3 linked regions of the Drosophila melanogaster genome follow. The protein of the gene in region 3 binds, or shares a complex with, the protein of the main gene of each other region. Each region holds a gene or a part of one and is shown on either strand. Other genes may lie near its edges. The genes, in order: IntS9, IntS4 and IntS11. A codon is read from its position in the direction of its gene.

What was found.
Region 1: the proteins of IntS11 (region 3) and IntS9 are in contact, whole or in part, in a cryo-EM structure (PDB 7SN8), measured with the Drosophila melanogaster proteins. Residues at the interface, in NP_651721.1 of Drosophila melanogaster: His94 (codon at 2,612), Lys97 (codon at 2,603), Ala98 (codon at 2,600), Pro135 (codon at 2,489), Thr137 (codon at 2,483), His139 (codon at 2,477), Gln140 (codon at 2,474), Ser141 (codon at 2,471), Glu149 (codon at 2,447), Lys151 (codon at 2,441), Lys274 (codon at 2,072), Thr277 (codon at 2,063), Tyr278 (codon at 2,060), Lys280 (codon at 2,054), Met281 (codon at 2,051), Phe282 (codon at 2,048), Ile283 (codon at 2,045), Thr284 (codon at 2,042), Trp285 (codon at 2,039), Phe294 (codon at 2,012), Val295 (codon at 2,009), His296 (codon at 2,006), Val450 (codon at 1,489), Lys451 (codon at 1,486), Ile452 (codon at 1,483), Pro453 (codon at 1,480), Val454 (codon at 1,477), Asp455 (codon at 1,474), Ala456 (codon at 1,471), Ser457 (codon at 1,468); in NP_648838.3 of Drosophila melanogaster: Glu128 (codon at 2,466), Tyr198 (codon at 2,676), Asp199 (codon at 2,679), Glu200 (codon at 2,682), Lys201 (codon at 2,685), His230 (codon at 2,772), Asp333 (codon at 3,081), Ser334 (codon at 3,084), Ala337 (codon at 3,093), Tyr338 (codon at 3,096), Asn340 (codon at 3,102), Ile341 (codon at 3,105), Glu344 (codon at 3,114), Gln351 (codon at 3,135), Val354 (codon at 3,144), Tyr355 (codon at 3,147), Leu356 (codon at 3,150), Pro357 (codon at 3,153), Asp358 (codon at 3,156), Asp359 (codon at 3,159), Pro360 (codon at 3,162), Arg509, Lys510, Leu511, Asp512, Arg513, Ile514, Tyr515, Ile516, Ser518.
Region 2: the proteins of IntS11 (region 3) and IntS4 are in contact, whole or in part, in a cryo-EM structure (PDB 7SN8), measured with the Drosophila melanogaster proteins. Residues at the interface, in NP_651721.1 of Drosophila melanogaster: Thr182 (codon at 2,348), Pro183 (codon at 2,345), Arg185 (codon at 2,339), Gly188 (codon at 2,330), Ala189 (codon at 2,327), Trp191 (codon at 2,321), Ile192 (codon at 2,318), Asp193 (codon at 2,315), Lys194 (codon at 2,312), Arg196 (codon at 2,306), Ile210 (codon at 2,264), Arg211 (codon at 2,261), Asp212 (codon at 2,258), Ser213 (codon at 2,255), Lys214 (codon at 2,252), Arg215 (codon at 2,249), Arg258 (codon at 2,120), Asn287 (codon at 2,033), Gln288 (codon at 2,030), Lys289 (codon at 2,027), Lys292 (codon at 2,018), Thr293 (codon at 2,015), Met299 (codon at 1,997), Gln400 (codon at 1,639), Asn404 (codon at 1,627), Asn469 (codon at 1,432), Ala470 (codon at 1,429), Pro472 (codon at 1,423), Pro473 (codon at 1,420), Pro475 (codon at 1,414); in NP_572488.1 of Drosophila melanogaster: Arg226 (codon at 3,020), Ser227 (codon at 3,017), Gly228 (codon at 3,014), Gln233 (codon at 2,999), Lys256 (codon at 2,930), Phe259 (codon at 2,921), Tyr260 (codon at 2,918), Asp262 (codon at 2,912), Ser263 (codon at 2,909), Gln264 (codon at 2,906), Lys299 (codon at 2,801), Asp300 (codon at 2,798), Asp301 (codon at 2,795), Cys349 (codon at 2,651), Leu351 (codon at 2,645), Lys380 (codon at 2,558), Lys381 (codon at 2,555), Ile437 (codon at 2,387), Glu441 (codon at 2,375), Glu443 (codon at 2,369), Phe444 (codon at 2,366), Leu445 (codon at 2,363), Glu446 (codon at 2,360), Arg448 (codon at 2,354), Asp471 (codon at 2,285), Phe472 (codon at 2,282), Asp475 (codon at 2,273), Asn478 (codon at 2,264), Glu480 (codon at 2,258), Ile481 (codon at 2,255).

What each region holds. Positions count from the first base shown.
Region 1 is NT_037436.4:16,100,831-16,107,586, reverse strand, and holds IntS9 (integrator 9), read left to right. Parts: upstream 1-1,959; 5' UTR 1,960-2,023; coding exon 2,024-2,032; intron 2,033-2,093; coding exon 2,094-3,251; intron 3,252-3,308; coding exon 3,309-4,106; 3' UTR 4,107-4,153; downstream 4,154-6,756. Other genes in the region: Zn72D (Zinc-finger protein at 72D), read left to right, coding at 58-633; CG43295 (uncharacterized protein), read right to left, coding at 1,159-1,611, 1,685-1,735; IleRS-m (Isoleucyl-tRNA synthetase, mitochondrial), read right to left, coding at 4,154-4,801, 4,857-5,193, 5,277-6,470, 6,523-6,727. UniProt on the Drosophila melanogaster protein: Component of the integrator complex, a multiprotein complex that terminates RNA polymerase II (Pol II) transcription in the promoter-proximal region of genes.
Region 2 is NC_004354.4:8,555,004-8,562,070, forward strand, and holds IntS4 (integrator 4), read right to left. Parts: upstream 3,779-7,067; 5' UTR 3,696-3,778; coding exon 1,593-3,695; intron 1,516-1,592; coding exon 550-1,515; 3' UTR 236-549; downstream 1-235. Other genes in the region: CG12112 (uncharacterized protein), read right to left, coding at 4,218-4,360, 4,423-4,576, 4,650-4,855, 4,918-5,020. UniProt on the Drosophila melanogaster protein: Component of the integrator complex, a multiprotein complex that terminates RNA polymerase II (Pol II) transcription in the promoter-proximal region of genes.
Region 3 is NT_033777.3:29,741,373-29,748,439, reverse strand, and holds IntS11 (integrator 11), read right to left. Parts: upstream 3,104-7,067; 5' UTR 2,971-3,103; coding exon 2,757-2,970; exon of another isoform or gene 2,678-2,756; coding exon 1,703-2,677; intron 1,648-1,702; coding exon 1,043-1,647; 3' UTR 927-1,042; downstream 1-926. Other genes in the region: ATPsyngamma (ATP synthase, gamma subunit), read left to right, coding at 1-586; Wdr24 (WD repeat domain 24), read left to right, coding at 3,441-3,558, 3,617-4,256, 4,319-4,651, 4,705-4,789, 4,850-5,005, 5,063-5,521, 5,588-5,773, 5,837-6,193; Gnpnat (Glucosamine-phosphate N-acetyltransferase), read right to left, coding at 6,701-6,742. UniProt on the Drosophila melanogaster protein: RNA endonuclease component of the integrator complex, a multiprotein complex that terminates RNA polymerase II (Pol II) transcription in the promoter-proximal region of genes.

The sequences.
Region 1 (6,756 bases), on a different chromosome or scaffold from region 3:
GCCAAAAAGCAACTAGAAAAATCACAAACTAATTATGAATGAATATGAATTTATTAGGCTTTGGCTGATTTGCGTCACGCCAAATGGTTCCAGGCTCGAGCGACAGGCCTCCAGTCGTGCGTCATGGTCATACGCATCCTCAGGGATCTGTGCCAGCGCGTCTCTTCCTGGCAATCGCTGCCCCAATGGTCTTTGGAGCTCCTCGTAGAGAAGGTCATCTCGTCGGCTGGCTTTCCCATTTCGCCCGGTGACTGCATGCGTCGCATCATGGAGGCCTTATCGTCAGGCTTTCTAATCAACGGACCGGGCCTGCTGGATCCTTGCGAGAAGGACCCCACAGACGCTCTACTCGAGTTGACCAAACAGGAGCGCGAGGATCTCACTGTGTCCGCACAGCTCTTCCTGCGCTACATTGCCTTTCGACAGATTTACAAAGTGCTTGGCATGGAGCCATTGCCGGCGATGAAGTTTCCAATGCGTCCATGGCGTGTCAACCGCAAGCGACGTAGGTCATCGGGCAAGGCAGGTGGTGCACCCGGCACGGAGACCGAGTCCAATGACATCGATGAGACCGGCTCCGATGAGAAGGTGGCCAAGAAGGAGGGTGTCGGAGGCACTCCTGCCAGCACCTAAGCGGCGAGAATAGGTTATATACACGTAGTCGGCTACTAATATTACAATTTCTCTCAAGATAAAAGCGCGACCAGGCGTCACTTAACTATAACCAACTCTAATCTATACACGAGTATTCAAACCGATTGGGGCACAAGGAGCTAAGCATGTCCAACATGTTGCCCAATCGGCGATTAGTGAATCCCAAATTACCCCAACTTTAACTAACAATATTTAGTGGATCATAAAACTTGTATTTTTCTAGCATTAGTGCAAGGCAAGGCAATGTATTCAGTTTGAATGTGAACATTATGGCCCTCACACTCATATACACAAATACTAGAACGAAGCGGATTTTAATAAAACGTATTGAACAATTATAATTAAATTATTTTTTTAATAAAGATAAGCTTAATTCATTCACGTAACTGGAAATCTTAATTGGAGATAATCTAGCACTGATAATATTCTTCGCTTTATAAATAAGTTCTAATTGAAATTAATTCAAATATATATTTATATATATGATATATAATTTTTAAGGAATTACAAGAAGTCGTTCCACTTAGAGCAAATTTTCTTAGTAACTGTTGGCATATTTTCAGCGGAACGTTTAGAGGATCGTGGCCCTGTGTTCCTGGTTTTCTTAAAGTTCATAGAGATTTCGTCGGAAAGTTCATCGGTTTTCGTAGGTTTTGCTGCAGGCTTTTGAGTAGTTTCAATGGTATTATCCACATAGTTTGCCCATTTATTTGTTTTCTTCTGAGGTGTGGTGTTTTCCTCTTTTTCTTGGCAGTCTTTCTCCTCTTCGAGCTGTTGCTTTGCCGTGAGGAATAAGCCCGTGTTCAGACATTCCTCCTGCATTCCGCGCTCTAAGTTGAGATGCTGCACCTTAACCCGGCATTCCGCTGCCGATCCTCGAAAGAATTCCTTGAGCAAACTTTGCTTTTGGCGGCAAATTTTACACTGCCATGTGCTTGCCTTTTTCACGAAGTCCACCTTGTTTAAATTAGGTATATATATATAAGTAGTTATTGAGTTCTAAGATATATTTCAGTTTGTTTGCACTCACCTGGTACATTTTGCATTGAATGCATTGTACCACGCGAATTTGCTGGGACATTATTCAAATTTGCGAAAAACCAAATAAAGAGACCAGGGATGGAAACCAACAGCACTGCAACAAGTGGAGTGAAAAAAATGTGGTTGCACAAATGTTAAAGCGTGATGACTACAGTTTAACAAGTAGTAAAACATTTACCAAAATTTGTAATTAACTAATTTTGGTACCTATGGTTAATGATTTAGCCGGGTGCTGATTCCGGTTCATAAGTGAACCAAATCGTTCCCCATCCCTGGTCCAAATATAAACAAACTTGCATCGTCTAATCGGCACTGTCGGTTTAATAAAATGCGATTGGTAAGTCATCCTGAGAAGTAAATAACAACTTAATTAGCGGAAGTGACTATCCACTTTGCAGTATTGTCTCAGCGGGGACCTGGCCAAGCCATGTTATATCATTACCTTCAAGGGCCTGCGGATTATGCTGGACTGCGGTCTCACGGAGCAGACAGTCCTGAATTTCCTTCCGCTGCCCTTCGTTCAGTCACTGAAGTGGTCCAATCTGCCCAACTTCGTGCCCAGTCGGGATCATGATCCCCAAATGGATGGCGAGTTGAAGGACTGCTGTGGCCGGGTTTTCGTGGACTCGACGCCCGAGTTTAATCTACCCATGGACAAAATGCTGGATTTCAGCGAAGTGGATGTGATACTTATCTCGAATTATCTTAATATGCTGGCCTTGCCGTATATCACGGAAAACACGGGGTTCAAGGGCAAAGTCTATGCCACGGAGCCAACGCTGCAGATCGGCCGATTTTTCCTGGAGGAGCTGGTGGACTATATCGAAGTGTCGCCCAAGGCGTGCACCGCGCGCTTGTGGAAGGAGAAGCTTCATCTGCTGCCCAGTCCCTTGAGCGAAGCCTTTCGCGCCAAGAAGTGGCGCACTATCTTTAGTCTTAAGGATGTCCAAGGCAGTCTGTCCAAGGTGACCATCATGGGCTACGACGAGAAGCTGGACATCCTCGGAGCTTTTATCGCCACTCCTGTCAGCTCGGGCTACTGCCTGGGCTCGAGCAACTGGGTACTGAGCACGGCGCATGAAAAGATTTGCTATGTCAGTGGTTCCTCCACGTTGACCACACATCCGCGGCCCATCAATCAGTCGGCGCTGAAGCACGCCGATGTACTCATTATGACCGGACTGACGCAGGCGCCGACGGTAAATCCGGACACGAAGCTGGGCGAGCTCTGCATGAATGTGGCCTTGACGATCCGCAACAATGGGTCTGCCTTGATTCCCTGTTATCCTTCGGGCGTTGTCTATGACCTCTTTGAGTGCCTCACCCAGAATTTGGAAAACGCTGGCCTAAACAATGTTCCCATGTTCTTTATTTCCCCTGTGGCAGACAGCTCCTTGGCGTATTCTAATATCCTGGCCGAGTGGCTTAGTTCCGCCAAGCAGAACAAAGTGTATCTTCCAGACGATCCTTTCCCACATGCCTTTTACCTTCGCAACAACAAGCTGAAGCACTATAACCATGTGTTCTCCGAGGGCTTTAGCAAGGACTTCCGGCAGGTTTGTCTAACATAATTGTGAAAACTTCATACTACAAATTCTCTGTCTTCCTTACAGCCCTGCGTGGTCTTTTGTGGCCATCCTAGCTTGCGTTTCGGCGACGCTGTTCACTTTATCGAGATGTGGGGCAATAACCCTAACAACTCCATCATATTCACGGAGCCGGACTTTCCGTATCTGCAAGTACTGGCGCCCTTCCAACCACTGGCCATGAAGGCTTTTTACTGTCCCATCGACACCTCTTTGAATTATCAGCAGGCAAATAAGCTGATCAAGGAGTTGAAACCAAATGTGCTTGTCATCCCAGAGGCATACACAAAACCACATCCCTCGGCCCCAAATTTGTTCATTGAACAGCCGGATAAGAAGATAATAACGTTCAAGTGCGGCGAGATCATACGTCTGCCATTAAAACGGAAGCTGGATCGAATTTACATTACCTCGGAACTGGCCCAAAAGATATCGCCAAAGGAGGTGGCGGCCGGCGTGACCTTCTCCACATTGACAGGAGTTTTGCAAGTTAAGGACAAGGTCCACTGCATCCAGCCATGTGCGGATAGCGTTAAAGACGAGACCATCTCGAGCAACAGCGCTCCGACAAAGGAGGATGTGCTGAAGAACGTCAAATACGAGTATGGCAGCATTGATGTAGATGCAGTGATGAAGAAGCTGGCACAGGATGGCTTCTCCAACATCAAGCTAGACCGCACTGGCGGCGCTCTGACTCTGAACCTTGTCAATGAGGACACAGTCATTAAGTTCGAGGACAACGAGACGCATATTATCTGCGGCGGAAAGCCAACAACCCGGCTCAAGCTGCGAGACACCATCATGAAATGCTTACAGAGTTTTTAAAAACATAAATGTATTCCTTACACCTAAATAACAACACATCATTACGCTTAGTTCTTTGCCTCCATAACGTCAGAGCAACGTTGACACGTTTTCTGCTCATCCTCCAGACCATAGCGACGACAACGTGGGCACAGTGATATCTGAAGTTTACTTAAAGCAATATCCAAGTCGCTATTATGGGACTGTAAGAGCGTAACTGACCCCACTTGCAATATCTCGCATAATTCAGAATTGCTCACAGACTCTCCAAGAGGGCTGTGAAGTTCTCGCAGCAAATCCAGCTGGCTTCTTTCCTTTCCTTTGATGGTCACGGCCAAGTGCCAGGTGTTAACATCTCCAGCCTGTTGGTTAATAAGTCGTTTAACATCGAACGCTGCATTAATCACTTCAGTGGCTTTGGTGTCCTGCCATTCAGGATTAGTCTGAACAATTTGCTCGTGGAATGCACCACCTGTGGTGTCATAGTAGCTCCAGCTTTCCTCCACCAGGAAGGGAACAATGGGCCATAAGCTCTTGCAGAGTTGTTGATAGCAGTGGGTAAGAGTTTGACGAATGGCCAGTAGCTCGTGATCATCACCACAATAAAGACGATCCTTGATGAGATGCACATAGACGGCGGACACCTGATTTGCAATGAAGTTTTGGACACAGGCGACAACACGATTGTACTCATAAGCTTGGTATAGCTTCTCCACCTTAAAAGCGATTGACATGATTAGTTGAAAAACTAAGATTAACAAAATTTCCTACCTCAGATTCAAATTCAACCAGCTGGCTTAACAAATAACGATTAAGATAGCTCTTATCCGAAGTTCGTATAAGCTTCTCCCCCGATTGTTTCTCTCCAATTACGCCTTTTAAATATCGCATAGTTCCGCGGATCTTGCATAGATTTTCTGCCGCTTGCTGCAGTAGCTTATCGCTCACTGTAATGGACATGTGCTGCGTTCCATGGGAGGCAACCCACCAACGCAGTGCATCCGTACCATATTTCTTGGTTATCTGCTTTGGGGAAATTACATTTCCCAAAGATTTCGACATCTTGTATCCTTTCTCATCCACGGTAAATCCGTGAACGAAGAGGGCCCTATTGGATATTAATATTGAATAGGTTTTTCATTAAAAAGTATTACACTAGAATAGAGTCTTTGGTATTACGTATCTACTCACTTGTACGGTGCACATTCCCGAGCAGCAATGCTCATAAGCAGTGATGATTGAAACCAACCGGTGAATTGGTCATAACCCTCAAGATACAGATCGGCTATCTTATCCTTGCCCAGCACAGCGGACCATGTGCTACCAGAGTCGAACCAAATGTCCAGTATGTCAGTGCCCTTGACAAGATCTTTGGCTTCATGGTGAAGTTCACGAAGTAAATGCTCGGGTACCAGTTCCTCCACGGATTTTACCCACCAGAAGTCGATTGATCCCTCCTTGCGGAGCAGATTGCAAAGATGTTCAATAAGAGCGGAATTAAGTACCACTTTTCCGGACTCCCGACTGTAGAGAACAGGAATGGGTACGCCCCACGCTCGCTGCCTGGAGATGCACCAATATGGTCTCTTCTGGAGTTGTGTGAGCAATGCCTTCTTGCTGGCCTCAGCATTGGCTCTAGGATAGATCTCCACTTGTTCCAAGGCATCTGCAGCAGGCGTCTTTAGCTTTTCGGTATTAATGAACCACTGCTCACTGGCACGAATTATCACAGGCTTTTTTGTGCGCCAATCAATAGGATAGGAATGTTCCAGCTTTGAGGAGTGGACTACATCCTCTGCTATGCGGTCGAGGACTAGGGAATTTCCCTGATCCAACACTGATTTTCCGCGTAGAAAATCAGGAGCTTCCTTGGTGTAAGTGCCCTCCTCATTCACAAAACACTTTACAGGAATTTTCTGGGTCAGACTAACAAGGAAATCTTCTGGTCCATGGGCAGGAGCTGTGTGCACCAGGCCCGTACCTTTGCTATCCTGCACATGACTGGCGTCGAAAAAGGGCAGATTCGATTGTTCTTTATCAATTGGATGATTATAGCTCAGCTTGCTCAATAATTCTCCACTCAAGTGCTGCACTATCTCACACTTTAGCTGAGTATTGGCCTCAAAGTCCGCCATAAGAGCTGAAGCCATGAGGTATAGCTCATCCTGGTTGCGATCCGACAACCTGACTATAACGTATTCCAACGAGGCATTGTAACAGATGGCTTGGTTACTCGGCAAGGTCCACGGAGTTGTGGTCCAGACTAGGGCATAAATTTGCTTATCCTTTACATCAAAGCTACTTGGATTAAGAGCAAATCTCACATACACCGAAGGACTTATGTGATTAGCATCATATTCCAGTTCCGCCTCGGCCAGGGCTGTCCTAAAAAATATAAGATAGTGTTAAGTATCAATTTAAGTTGTATTCAACTCACCTGGATGAAGGTGACCAGTAAACTGGCTTCAAGTCGCGATAGACCAGTCCTTTCTCGTACAGATTGTAGAACATTTCCAATTGATTGACTATAAACTCTGGCTGGAAGGTCATGTAGATATTGTCCTTCTGCCAGTTGGCCAAAATGCCCCAGCTGCTGAACTCCTCTTTTTGCGATTTAATGGCCTCCCAAGCAAAGGCACGAGCTTTAGGAAATAATAAAGAATTAGCAAAG
Region 2 (7,067 bases), on a different chromosome or scaffold from region 3:
ACAAACAAGCATAAATGATAGCAGCGTCTACAAAATCCACAACCAGATCAGAAAAAGCAGGAGAATAATCAAAACGAGAAAATGGAGAAAAGGTTATCCAGAAAAATGATCAGAAAACGTGTAAGCTGTAAAACCTATAATGAGAAATAAACTATAGAAACTATATGAAAAGAACAAGTCTTAGGCATTTCATTCCCCCCCACAGTAAGTATTTTAAATGATGTACGATTTTCTTAAAGATTTATGGTACACACTTTATTTGAAATGAATTCATCTTAAACATATGATTATGATATAAGTAAGCTACGCACAACTGATGCTCTAAACATTCGGTTTTTTCGATTTAGAAAGAACTTTGGCAACCAACTGCTATGGTATCTTAAACAATCACATACATATATTTAAATAACAGTTGCTCGTTGCGCCAATTCCCTGGGCTCTCCTCCTCCCCCTCCTTCTCCTCCTCCTCCAGCGGCTGTGTGGCCTTGTCAGCTTCTCGCTCCGCGTCGCCAGGACAAAAAGCACCTAGTCCATTACCTGGAAGTCAGGCTAAATGCCCCGCCTGACTGGTTTGGGTGCGAACAGCACCTTTGCCGGCTTGCAGAGCTCCAGTTCGCTGCCGGGACGCACGGCCAGGCACAGTTGGATCTCCACCAGCGACGACTCCGTCCAAACGCTGTGCGACAGCAGGATTGTGGTGCGCAGGCGCACATTGGTCTTGTGCTCGCCCTGCTCCGTCATAATGGGCTTGAAGTCACTCTGCTTCGGCACCACGGTGTGCATGTGCTGGTCCGGATACTTGATCTTGATCCGCATGTCCGCCTTCTGGGACTCCAGCAGATTGTCGATTTCCGCAACAAAAGGAACGGCTGCTATCAGGCCAGCCGTGACCTTAATTACATTATCCTGCGATTGCAGCGGACACGGCTCAAGGATGTTGGCCACACAGCGGCGTATTTTGTCATTGGCGGGTGGCAATGCAAGCGGAGGAGCCTGCTGGACCAGCGGCAGAATTTCGCGAAAGACGCGACCCGGCTTGGGATCCGATATGCCATCCAGTTTGATTAGCAGCTGGCGGGTGAAGCTATCCGGCTGGGCATCCCTACTGACCGACTCTTTCATGGGCATATCGGTCTCTACCACCGGTGGCTTCTCCTCCTCATCCTTCGTATTCGCCTTGATGAACTCACTTATATCGCCGGCGGTTTGCAAAAGCATCTGGCACGGGCCCAATGCACTCTGTGAGCGATCCCTGACCACGAGGACCAAGTGAAGCGCGCAAGCCCTCAGGCGCAGCTGCTTCACCTGCAAGATATCGCCGTAATTGAGGCCGGAGAAAGTGTGCTGCAGCTTGAGACAGTTTCGGATGAGTGCTGCCAGTGATTCCTTCAAGGGCACCCTGCTTCGTTGCGTGCTGGCGCAACGCTGCATCTGTTCGATCTGGATCTGGGCCGCCAAGAAGGTCTCTAGAAAGTTTGAGGTGCCGTACATGCCCGCATCAATGGATCCCAGGCGCTAAAGTTTATTAAAAAAAAAACATAGTAAACATTAGTGTTCATTTATATTGTAGTAAGCCCAGCGGGCATACAAACCTGCAGATTAGATTGGGCAGTCTGGAGCAGCTCCAAGCGCTCGTCAGTCATGGTGAAGATCTCTTCGATGTGACTGAGAATCATCTGCAGGTACTCCGCCGAACTGCCCGCTTGGTGCATAGCCGAATCGATCCTGTGCGTCGCACTCGCCGAGGACGCACCCTCAATGGGCAACTGGGGCACCAGATTCGGCATCGAGTCTCTCAGATAGGCGTAATGGCGATGGGTGGCCGTGGGCAGCAAACTGATAATGGGCACCAAATGTTCTGCAGCATTGAAGACAAGTATCAGAACGCACAGATACGCTGGATCCTCGACATCGCGTTCGGGCGTCTCGAAAAAGGGATGCACGTAAAGCAGGTGAACGGCGACAGCCATCACCAAATGTGGATGCTTCTGGCCAATCTTGCGCATGCAGGCATAGGTGGAGTTACGATCCTGTGGATACTTGGCCAGCACATCTAGCAGCTTCTGCACCACCATTAGCAGGCACGTTTGTGTGGACACTCTACAGGCGCCCAGCATGAGATGTAGTCCCTCACGCACGTCCACGGAGTAATCCTCAAGCGATCCAAGCATTATCTCCAGCTGATCCTCGCGCAGCACTATGTGCTTGGCAATGGCCGTTAAACTATAGATGGCCTTCAGCCGCACATCCTCGATCTCATCGTTGAACATGTCCACAAGGAAATCTAGGCTGGTCACCGCGAAATCCGGTCGAGAGAGGGCCAGCTTGCACATGGAGGCCACTGCCGCAGTACGCACCTCGAGGAACTCATCCTCTAGGCCATGTATAAGGGCGCCACAGGCGCCGCTGGCTATAATTGAGATGCTCTGAGCATCGAGGTGCTCTTGCGGCGCATCGTCCGCCCACCGTTTACCCGATGACCACTCACCGCTGGCCACCAGGCGAGCACCTCTCTCGTGCGCCGTTCGCTTCCGGCGCAGATTGCTCATCAGCTTTTTGTCGAGTGTCTGGTGTAGGAACTCCCTGCTTACGGCGGTCATCCCACCGAGCAATTCCGCTGCGAGCACGCGAATTTGCAGCGATAGATCGCACAGGGCTTCGCAGACCTTGCTGAACGCAGCGTCTATCATGCGCAGCTCCTCCTGCTGGCGGTCCGAGGGTAAAATGTAGTCCGGATGCCGATTGCCCAGCATGAAGACCAGCTGTAGAGCTTCCTTGCGCACACACTCGTAGTCATCCTTCATGGCCTCGACGGCACGCTTATAGAGCACCGCCGGCAGTTGGGATCCCCGTTCGCCGAGGGTCAGCAGGGCGTGCAGAGCCTGGGCACGAACGCTCGAGTCCTGCGAGTCGATGTAGAAGGCTAACTTCCATACGTAATGACGCTCACCCTCCATTTTGGTGGCAAAACGACCGATTACCAGCATGGCGTTCTTCTGCGTATGCGCCGAACCGGAGCGCAGCTGCTCCTTGGCTAGGTGGGCCACCTGGGTTTTGTACGATATGGGCAACATGTGCTTCCTGCGCTCCCCGATTCGAAACAGGCACATCATGCCCTGGGCGAGCACCTTTTGGGACACCTCCTTCCTCAACAAGAAGATAAAGTAGTCGATGATCATGGTAAGCGCCTGCTCGGTGGCACACTCGCAACCCAATCCGGACAGCAGCTCGAGCAGCTTCACCCGGATGGAGGTGTCGCTATCGCGTTCCTGCAGCTGATACAGTTGGAAGATCTTGCTGGCCACCTCCTTAAGCTCGCCCATTTCCACGTCCTCATAGGATATCTCATCGGTTATCTTGACCAAGAGCTCCAGCAGTTCCCTGCTATTCGCGGCCGTCATTGGGGGAGCTCCAGTCGCCGCAGCCGGCGGATTTCCGATGACACCTGTTGACGGGGCTCCCGTCGAAGCAACTGGTGTCCCAGTGGGCAGGACCAACGCACCGGCGGGCAGGTTGCCCACATAGGCGTCCAATTGGTTGAGCGCCGTCAGCTTGCGCTCCACATTGCCCACTTTTCCGGATTTCCCGCCCTTGGCATCAGCGGCCAGCGTTTGCAGACGCAGCTTCTTCACCGGCGGCGACCCGTCCACCGTTTCCACGTAGGTGCCTACGCGCTTCTTAATGGCCAGCGCCATGGTTTCCTTTTCCTTTGCGCGATTCAACCAATGCAGACTAGAGTTGCACTCTTCCACCTGGTTTAGGTAAACCGCAAATTAGAGATGGCACACCACTGATGCCAACCACCCGCCACTAGCGATGGCATCGTGACCGCGCAAGAGGTTCTTGCTGGTGGATAACCCATAACTAAATAAATTGCTTTCACAAGAGTGATAATGCTAATATCACCAGGCATTTAATAATTATATTATTTTAAAAAAATGTGTCATTTAGTAATCATATAAAGAAAACGAGGCATATTTTTTGGACATTTCACTTTGAAGGCGTGAAACATCGATAGTATAGTGAAAAATCGATGTTTTCTTTTCGTCTTTTGTTTTGCTCTCGCTCTTCTCCATGAAGTGATAACTTCTCAACAAAGTGATGATGATCCATCAACCACTATTTGGGTATTCATCCTCAATTCGGATTGATTCGCCCGTAAATCATTACTTATATTTAAATCCTTGTTTCTACTATGTCATCTCACATGGGCACAGTTATGATTTCTCCACGCTCAAAACGGACAAGGGGTCATCATCTACCTTGCCCTTCTTTTTGGCTGCGCAATTCTTAACGCATCTCATGGCTTTGAATAAGACTTTTTCCGAGGGTAGCGTCGGTTCCACCTGACCGATGGCGTCTGTAGTTGGGGATAATTATTGAATGGATCACTAAAAGTTGGATGTCGAGCACTAAACTTACTCATAAGCGAACGAAACAGATGTTCGTGATCTTTTAGTCTTTTCTTTTTCTGATTCCCATCAATATTGTAGTTCAGAAGGATGTCCTCGGAGAAAATGAGTCTTATGGTGCGGCTTAATCTTCCCTGGCGCAGGAATTTCCGCATGGAATTCGTCTGATCAGGGATCATATAAGTACAACTATATAATATTCTATTGATGGAAAAGCATGAGGAAGGAGAAACTTACATAGATCCCCCTGGAGTCCTGGCTTATCTTGTGATTCACTTCGACCAGATCCTCCTCATACATAATTGGAAAATCATCGTCCGGATTTCCCTTCGCCTTCGGCTTGGTCGTTTTCATCGACTGCTTAACGAATTCCGTAAGTGTCTTAACCGCCCTCGTCAAGTTTTCGATTTCTGCGCGCTGCGACAGGACTTGGGAATTGAGTTCTAAGTGGGTTAGGTAATGTAATATGATCCGGTGTTATAAGATATGTATGTCACAAACATACCATCTATCTTTGTTAGCAGCATGGCATTGGCTGCGATATGACTATTCTCGGTGGCGAGGCAAAGTCTCTTGATTTCAGGCATTGCTTCGTTAATTTTTAGCATTAAAGTGAATACATATGTATATTTAGTTTATGAATTGAGGAAAGTCCCTAATGGAAGCGATTCGCTTCGCTACACAGTTAAGCTCCAAATGGAATTCCTCGCTGTTTCATCATTGCCTTCGCTAGGCGACGAATGGGAAAGTAAGGGCACGGGCAAAAACTCCCTCTTGCTCATCACATATGAGTAACTGGTGAATCAGTGATGACGACGTCTGATTAGCGGCGGAACTGTACAGTAGTACAGAGAACATGGTGAAAGCCAGAATATCGCATGACAACCAATCGCATAAGCCACAGGATAAATAATACTAATTGTTTATAATAATCACAATGTTTTTAACGAATTTAGTTGGTGATGCGTCCTGTCAGTTGAGTAGGTGGGAATAGCATGGACTTTCCCCAAATAACAAATGCTAAGTTGGGTTTTTTTAAAATTGATTTAATACATTTTTTTTATGTTACAGTTAAATTTGAAACTATATTTAACAAGCAATTTGGATGTCATCGATATTTTGTAATAGGACCATTCACTTAGCGGAGTCATCAACCTTGGCGAATCTAGCGAGCACATCCACCTCTCGCTTATCAGGTCTATCGATAACATCGCTCATCAATCGATTCGTGAACCAGCTCTATCGCGAAACGGTCGCGTGTTCGCACGCAAATTGCAATATAAATCCACAGAAATTGACAGGGAACGTTGCTAAAGGGCGAAAAACAATCGTGCCGCGATTGAGGCCTGCGATCTGCACAGGAAATGCACAATTGCGAAGCGCAATTTGATAAATTCGGTAATGTTCGATTCTCGAAAGAACCAGTCGTGTGCGTCTGTATGTGCTTCAAATGTCACTCTGTGTGCGGGTGTGTGGGGAGTGCATAAAAGGCATAGAGGCAGCAAGGAGTGAAAGAGAGAGCTCCATCGGCAGCGCAACGAAAGTGAGCGAGAAGCAGAAATTGTTAGTGCTTATAAGGATATGTGAGAAGGGAGAGTGAGACAGTAAGAAAGAACGGAAGAAGCAGCAGCGACGCCGACCGACAACAACTGTAATTTTCCATTAATTTTTGGGCGGGTTTTGTGCTGCACAATAATACAACTGGCATAATATAACTTGGCTTATTTTTTATAACCAACATGTGTATTTTGTTCACGTTTTGCTGCGTGTGTAGGTGTGAGTATATGTATGTGTGATAAACTTGAAATACAACGCAATCGCAACGAGAACCAAAACTTGTCAAGGTAAAACGGCTAAAAAAAAAGAAGAAACGAATTGTGTGTGAAAAATTCCAACTGAATTACGCGAGAAATCATGTGAAGAGCAGTTCGATACGCATGTGTGTGCGTGTGATAGAATACGAGGATGAGAGCGGGCGTGCGTTTGGAGTAGTCTGCTTAATTGATTTTCGCTTAATTACTGCAGCGGTTGCATAAATTAAATGTTTACATTTGCCCCGGACAGTGCTGTAAAGAGAGAGAGCCCTTCGAAGCCAGGTGGCAACACCGAGGCCCGTCTATCGATATCCACTGCAATTAATTACTCCGACTAATTTCAGCCTCTGTATGTTTTTTGCCGGTTAAAACAATAAATCGCTCTCTCTTTCTGCCTTTCTTCAATATCACTTCGCCCCGCTCTCTCACTTGCTCTCCTTGGGTCGTTAGCCAACACTGGCGAACATTAAGAAAGTGTTAATTTGCCTAAAATGTACAAGTACATGTGCGCGATGGCCTGCTGTAAATGTGTGTGGGTGTACGGGAGTTTTCCTCTGTCAAATGCAACTAAGTTTTTTTTTACCGAAAATTCAGCCAGCAAATGAAAATCGTATCGGGTAAAATATGCATTAGGTGTAGGTGTGTGCGCATTTAGCGGTTTCTCTGCCCATCTTTCTTCTCCCTTTTTTCTTATTGTATTATATTTTTTTTGCATAATCGAAGCCGCCTTTCGGTACATGTGCATGTGTGCTGTCCCGCTCCCACTCCCACCCCCATACTACGGCCACCTGTACGCCCTTGCACACTCACACACAAACGCACACACCCAACAGAGTCACAC
Region 3 (7,067 bases):
TCTTTGCGGTGCCGTCCACACTGGTGTGGCCCGTCTCATTCGCGGCGAACTGGCCCAGGACGAGGCCAACACTAAGGTGTTCTGCGTGGGCGACAAGTCGCGCGCGATTCTGTCCCGTCTGTACGGCAAGAACATCCTGATGGTGGCCAACGAGGTGGGCCGACTGCCCCCCACTTTCCTGGACGCCTCGAAGATTGCCAACGAGGTTCTGCAGACCGGTTACGATTACACCGAGGGCAAGATCGTGTACAACCGTTTCAAGTCGGTGGTGTCCTACCAGTGCTCCACCCTCCCCATCTTCAGCGGATCCACCGTGGAGAAGTCGGAGAAGCTGGCCGTCTACGACTCGCTCGACAGCGACGTGGTCAAGAGCTATCTGGAGTTCTCGCTGGCCTCGCTCATCTTCTACACCATGAAGGAGGGCGCCTGCTCGGAGCAGTCCTCCCGTATGACTGCCATGGACAACGCTTCCAAGAACGCCGGTGAGATGATCGACAAGCTGACCCTCACCTTCAACCGTACCCGACAGGCGGTCATCACTCGCGAGCTGATTGAAATCATCTCCGGTGCCGCCGCCCTCACATAAGCGAATGGAATGTGTTCGAACAGCTCTAACGATTCATACAGCTAATTGCATATGGTGCCAGGCACCTGGAGCTACGCCTGGAGCCCTAGTAATGTTACTCTTTCAGAAAAACCCCAGAATAAATAGCGTGGAACGAACGAAAATAACTTTAACCATGGAGTCCTTACCTAATTGGAGTGGGAGGCAAGGAATTTGAAAGCACTTGCACAGGTCTGTTTGGTTTTTACACATTGATATCATGGGATTCGATTGCATTCTTATGCAAAGACCCATTGATATAACTTAATGTGCATAAAGTCTCAAATTTCAAGTGGCAATGACTAATGACCAAAAAACTATTGGAACGTTTATGTATATTTTGATACTCTTTAAACTTTCAGAAATTGGTGGTATCTACACTTTGTGCTTATCTATGGAATTAAGGCGTGGGATTTCAATGGGATGCTTCTTCGTTGCCTAGCACATATTCTGCAGCACATTCAGTATGTAGGCTCCAATGTCCTCGTCCTGGTTGGTCCACGATATCAAAATGTTCTTCTGCTTGGGATCCTTCTCGTCCTCCTCCACCTTCACCTCAACGGATTCGATGGCTATGGAGCCGTTCTCCTGCATCGTCACCGTCCAGCCGGCTAGCTTTTCTTCGAGCAGAGTCTTCAGTCTTTCGCTTGTGCGAATGACCGGTCCGGAGTCGTCCATTTTGACCTTGGATGTAAATCGCATAACATGTCGATTAATTCCGATTTCCTTCAGGGCATCGGTTAGGTTTTGCAGCATTATTCGATTGTCCTTCATTACGAGGACGCCATGGATTAGTCGCCGCCTCTTGGGATCCGGTGGCTGGGCGTTGTAGGACCGGGCCTCTGCTTTAAGCAGGGAAACGGACGCATCTACTGGTATCTTCACAGGCGTAGAAATCACACAGGTTTCGCCGTTGGCCGGCATGTAGGTTTCCAGGTTGAATTCGTCTTTGATCTTCGAGCGCAGGAACTTCATCTTCCCTGCTTCACCATGGACGAGCATGACGTTCTTTGGCTCACAGTTCTGAATTAGCTGCATAATGCCTGCAATACAGAAAATTAATTAGTATCAGCATAAAAGTGCTAAGCTTGTAGCCACCTTTGGCATCTGCATGGGCCGAGAAGCTCATGTACTCCACGGCCATTTTGACCTCGACCACCTGGCGGTTCTCGAACTCCACCTTCTTGGCGCCACCGAGAATCTTGTTGCCCACGGTTCCCTGCACACAGTAGCCGGGCATAATCACCATGTTGTTCTCATTCGGCGCCCACTTCTTGAAGATCTGCAGGGAAAGACCTGCGTGCAGCATGCCTGGCGTGGCGAACACTACCATCGCGCCAGGATTGTCGATGTAGGCCTTGTCAAAGGGCTTGATGTGCTTGAAGTCGAACATGTTGCGGTGAACGAAGGTCTTGCGGATCTTCTGGTTCGTCCAGGTGATGAACATTTTGTAGTAGGTATTGGCCTTCTCGGTAAGACCCAGAGCAAAGTATATGGGGTACTTGAGGTTCATGCGCTCCCAGTACGTCTCCAGCAGGATGCACAGCTCCTGGGCGCGACCCAGGGCAAAAACAGGGATTAAAACCTTGCCGCCCTTAGCCACGCACTCGTGAACTTTCTTGAGGAAGTCCCTCTCGCGACACCGCTTCGAGTCCCTAATGGTAGTGGCGTAGGTGCTCTCGGAGATCAGCAAGTCCGGCCGGCACTTGTCTATCCAGGCGGCTCCCAGATGCCTGTCTGGAGTCATGTTGTAGTCCCCCGTGTAGACAACGCTCTGGGAGCCCACCTTGATCCAGAACATGGCGGCGCCCAGGACATGGCCTGCATAGTAGGCTTTGATCTCAAGGTCCGTGTCCACCATCATACTCTGGTGAAGTGTGACGGGAATCACCTTCTTCATGCAGTCCTTGATCATCTGGGTGGTAAAGAAGTTCGACTCGCCTTTCCGCTCTACGGCCACCTTCCGCATGTCCTCCAGGAGGATGGGTGCTATGGCCTTGGTCGGATGCGTCATGTAGATGGGCCCCGTGTAGCCCACAATCTCTGACATGTAGGGCAAGGCCCCGCAGTGATCTGGAATGCATGCAATCGATAAAGAAACGATTAGAGCCAGTTGACCAGATAAGAGCGCCTTTGGGAGGCCGAGACTCACCCAGGTGGAAGTGCGAGATGATCACACAGTCAATGTGGCTGGTGATCGGACCCTCCGGCACTATGTAGGAGAAGTCCGGGAAGCGGCGCTCGTCGTTGTAGCCCATATGCATCCCGCAGTCGAGCATTATGTTCTTCCCGCCCATCGAGAGCAGCAGACAGCTGCGGCCCACATCCTGGCCGGCGCCCAAGGGCGTTATCTTGATGTCCGGCATTTCTGGAAGGGATCAGGATCACCCGGCTCCACTCTCCTGCTTTCTTGCGGCCACTTGTTGCGCTGGTAAATGAAATTGTCGAAAAAGTCGACCGTGATTTTTGTAAACAGCAAGGCCGCACGAATGGCGTTGCCACTCCGTCGGTGTGGATGGTCCGGCAACGACGCGCTCCAACTGGCAGATCTTATTGGAGTGTTCCAAGAAGTTTCAAAGAATTTAATAGCTTAATTGAAATTAATGTTTCTGTCTGTATATGTATAGAATACATTAATTATATGTGAATAATACAACTTTAGTACAATAAGTCTTTTGTTCAAACAATATTCAACATCTGCATTTGGGAACACTCGCGCCAATGGTTTGCCGCTCGAGAAACGGTCATACTGAACCGAAAGGAAAATAAAAGATAGCGTCTTGTCTTATCAAATCACTGTTTTGCTTTCTGCGGGCGAACTTGCAACTGCTGCAGGATGCCCGATTCCGTGGAGGACACCTCCACAATCTCGCTGCGGATATGCCTGGAAGGACACGCGAACGCCCTGGCCCTGAATAAGGACAACAACCAGATTGCTTTGGCCGGAAGAAGCTGTAAGATTAGAATTGCCCAAGGTCTTTCTATAAATACACATAATTTGCTTCCGAACAGTGCTTAAGGTGTACTCCATAAACAGCAATGGCTTCACGGAATCGTGTAATATGCGCGGAAAGAACCAGAATCTTAGCTACTCCGCCAACGATGTGGCCTGGTCCACCTTGGATAGCAATCTTTTGGCTACGGCGGCCACGAACGGAGTGGTTTCCGTGTGGGATCTCTCCAAGTTCGGCAGGCAGAAGCAGCTGCTTGTCTACAACGAACATGAGCGCACCGCTCATACCGTGACCTTTCACAGCAGCGAGCCCAACATCCTGATCTCCGGTTCTCAGGATGGCACCATCAAGTGTTTCGACATCCGATCGGATAAGTCAATCAACACCTACTTCTGCAACTCGGAATCAGTGCGGGATGTCAAGTTCAGTCCACACACACAAAACATATTCTCCGCCGTCTCCGAGAATGGAACTGTCCAGTTGTGGGACATGCGGAAGTGGGACAAGTGCATGGTGCAGTTTACGGCGCACTACGGGCCAGTCTACACATGCGACTGGCATCCCACAAGGAATTGGCTGGCCACCGGAAGTCGGGACAAGCAGATCAAGGTGTGGAACATGGATGGCAGGCCGGGATTGGAGCACACCATTCACACAATCGCCGTAGTGGGACGGGTTAAGTGGCGACCAGAAAGAACGTAGGTTTTTCTAGCCAGGTTTAACAGTCTTATTTATATTAAATCTGTTTAATCCTTTCCAGTTATCACATCGCTAGTTGTGCCCTTGTGGTGGACTACAGCGTTCATGTGTGGGACATCCGCAGACCCTACATCCCCTTTGCCTCCTTCAACGAGCACACCAATGTGACTACTGGAATTGCGTGGCAGGGCAGCGACTCGCACTGTCTTCTGTCCATCAGCAAGGACTCCACCATTTACAAACATGCTTTTAAGGATGCCACGAGGCCAGCGCTGAAGGCAAATGCCCAGGGAGCTAGCCTGGGCAGATTTGGGGACATCTCCTTTGCCAACAAGATCAAGGAGTATGAACCCAAGACCAGCGGTGCATCCAATACCAAGTCTTCTAGCTTCATGTATGTCGTATTTGTTGTATCAACTTGTATGTTTATATGTATGTGTATTTTAGAAGTCGCCGTAAGACGAATGTGGCTGGCAGCATTCAGTTCCATTTGGACCATTCCAAAATGTACAAATTCATGGTAAACGACACGGTTAGTATGACACTATTAGGGATTTCTTTGCCAAATCTGATACTAATTGATATATTTCAGTTTTCCGGCTATCCCCTAAGCGAATCTGTTTCAAGACCCACCCAAGAACACGAAAGTTTTATTGGCTGTGCCAGGGAACTTGTTATCAGTGGGAAAAAACTATCGGAGTTATGCGAGCACAATGCAGAGGTTTCCAAGAAATACGGCAAACATAATGTAAGCGCTTGAGATTATTCCCAAAATTTGCCAAAACTTAGCATCTACATTTTTCAGGCCACCACATTGTGGAACTTTATCAAATTGTTCTACGGCAGCAATCACTTTGAGCCTCCCTTCGAGCACCGCTCCTCCTTCTCGAATCAAAAGAATCCAATGAACTCACGACGTGCCACGCAAGTAGCCAGCGATTGGCCACAGCAGCGAACTGAACTAGGCCAGGATCTCAATGGAAACACGCCGGAAACAGCCCACGAAATTGATGTGGCGAATGTGGACGATGATACGCTCGGCAGCAGTGGTGTGGAGCATCCGCCTACGAGCTCAGTGATTCTGTCCGAAACGCAAATCATCAGCGAGATTACCTTTGACAACTTTGAGCTCTTGCGCAATGGGTTTATCTACGTGGGTCCCACAGAATGCCCGAAAGCTTTGGCCTTCCCCGCCCTTCATCACGATGTGCAGGCTGCACGACCACAACTGGATCTCAAGGCGTCCGATCACGAAAAGTCACCTGTTAGTTGAGATTATTGAGAACTCGATGTATTTACAGCTTAACTAACTTATTCATCCTCTTTTTAGCCACCGCATGTTCCCACTGTCCTAAAAGTCAGCCATGTCCCGCCCATACCCATGTGGGAACCGCATAAGTTCGTCTCCGATGCCCTCATGCTAATGAACGATGTGGGCGATGTGCAAACAGCTCTGACAGTCCTTATAGCGCTGGGAGAAGCTCGGAAGCTCCTGCCCATTGACGATGCATTGGTGGTGAGTTCAAAGACAAAGTTGGGATCAGAACGGAGTTATTCATCCGGTTTTCTTCCTTTTCAGGAGCACTGGTTTTACACCTACGTGGACCAGCTGCATCGCTATGAGCTGTGGAACGAGGCCTGCGAGGTTATCAACCGCTCCTGGCTGAGATCGGTGCAGCAGCTCAACCAGCACTCGACCGCCATGCACACGAACTGTGGAGAGTGTGGACGTCCAATGGGCGGCAAGGTGGGATGGTACTGCGACAAGTGCAAGTCCATGCAGTCCGCCAAGTGCTGCGTCTGCGGTCTGATCGTCCGGGGAGTCTACGCCTGGTGCCAAGGATGCTCCCACGGCGGTCACATAGAGCACCTGCAGAAGTACTTTGCCAAACACTCCAAGTGCCCCAAGTGCGGACACCTTTGCGCGTACTCATGAGACGCGGAGGAGGCTGGGTTTGCCCAGCTTTTGCCCCCCATTTGAGAGCCTTGTAAATAGAGAAGACTTAAGCCCAATAAGTACCTTGCACTAGACACTAAACAGATTTTTATATAAATGTAGCTCGAAGATGTAAACTTGTAAAATAAGCTCAACGTTTGTGAAGTAAATTAACAGACAGGTTTAATCGATCTTCTGCAACTTTAAATAGCACAAATGTTTGTTACTTAACTTTTTTTGAAATATTGGAAAATAAAACTGTTGTCTGTTGATGCAAGTAAGTTTATAAACATTCTGGGCTTTTGAAAAAAGTGTCCACTTTATTGAATTTCTTCAATCATTAAAGGTTTTTGAAAGATTCGTATTGGGTTTTAATCGCTATTGTTGATTAGTGTTAATAACAGTTTAACAGTTATGCGAGTGTTTCAATCTTAGGGCTACTTGATGAAGGTGCTCTTAAAAGGTAATATTACAACCACCTTGGAGTTGAGAGGTCGAGCCGCACATTCAGTAGCAGAAAGGGGAGAAAAAATTATAAAATTGAGAGTTCTGTAGGGATTAAAAACAGAGAGCAACATATGTTGCGGTTGTCTTTAACTAAATATCTAATTGTATGTCCTCGCGGGTGGGTGGACAAGCACGTCCGTCCACAAGGACACCACCGCCAGCCAGCGCTGTCCAAAAATCCATCATGCCCTCAGCGCAATGGAATTTTGGCAATGCCTATATGCATTTAATGTTTTCTTAGAATCCAATTTTAGTTTTGTTGCATTGCGCTTCGCGCATTTGTAACTTTGAGATGGGGTGCTCCCACTCAAAGCTTGGACTTTGGAGCAGCGTTGGCGGCTAATTGTCAAGAGGCAAAATCGAGGCT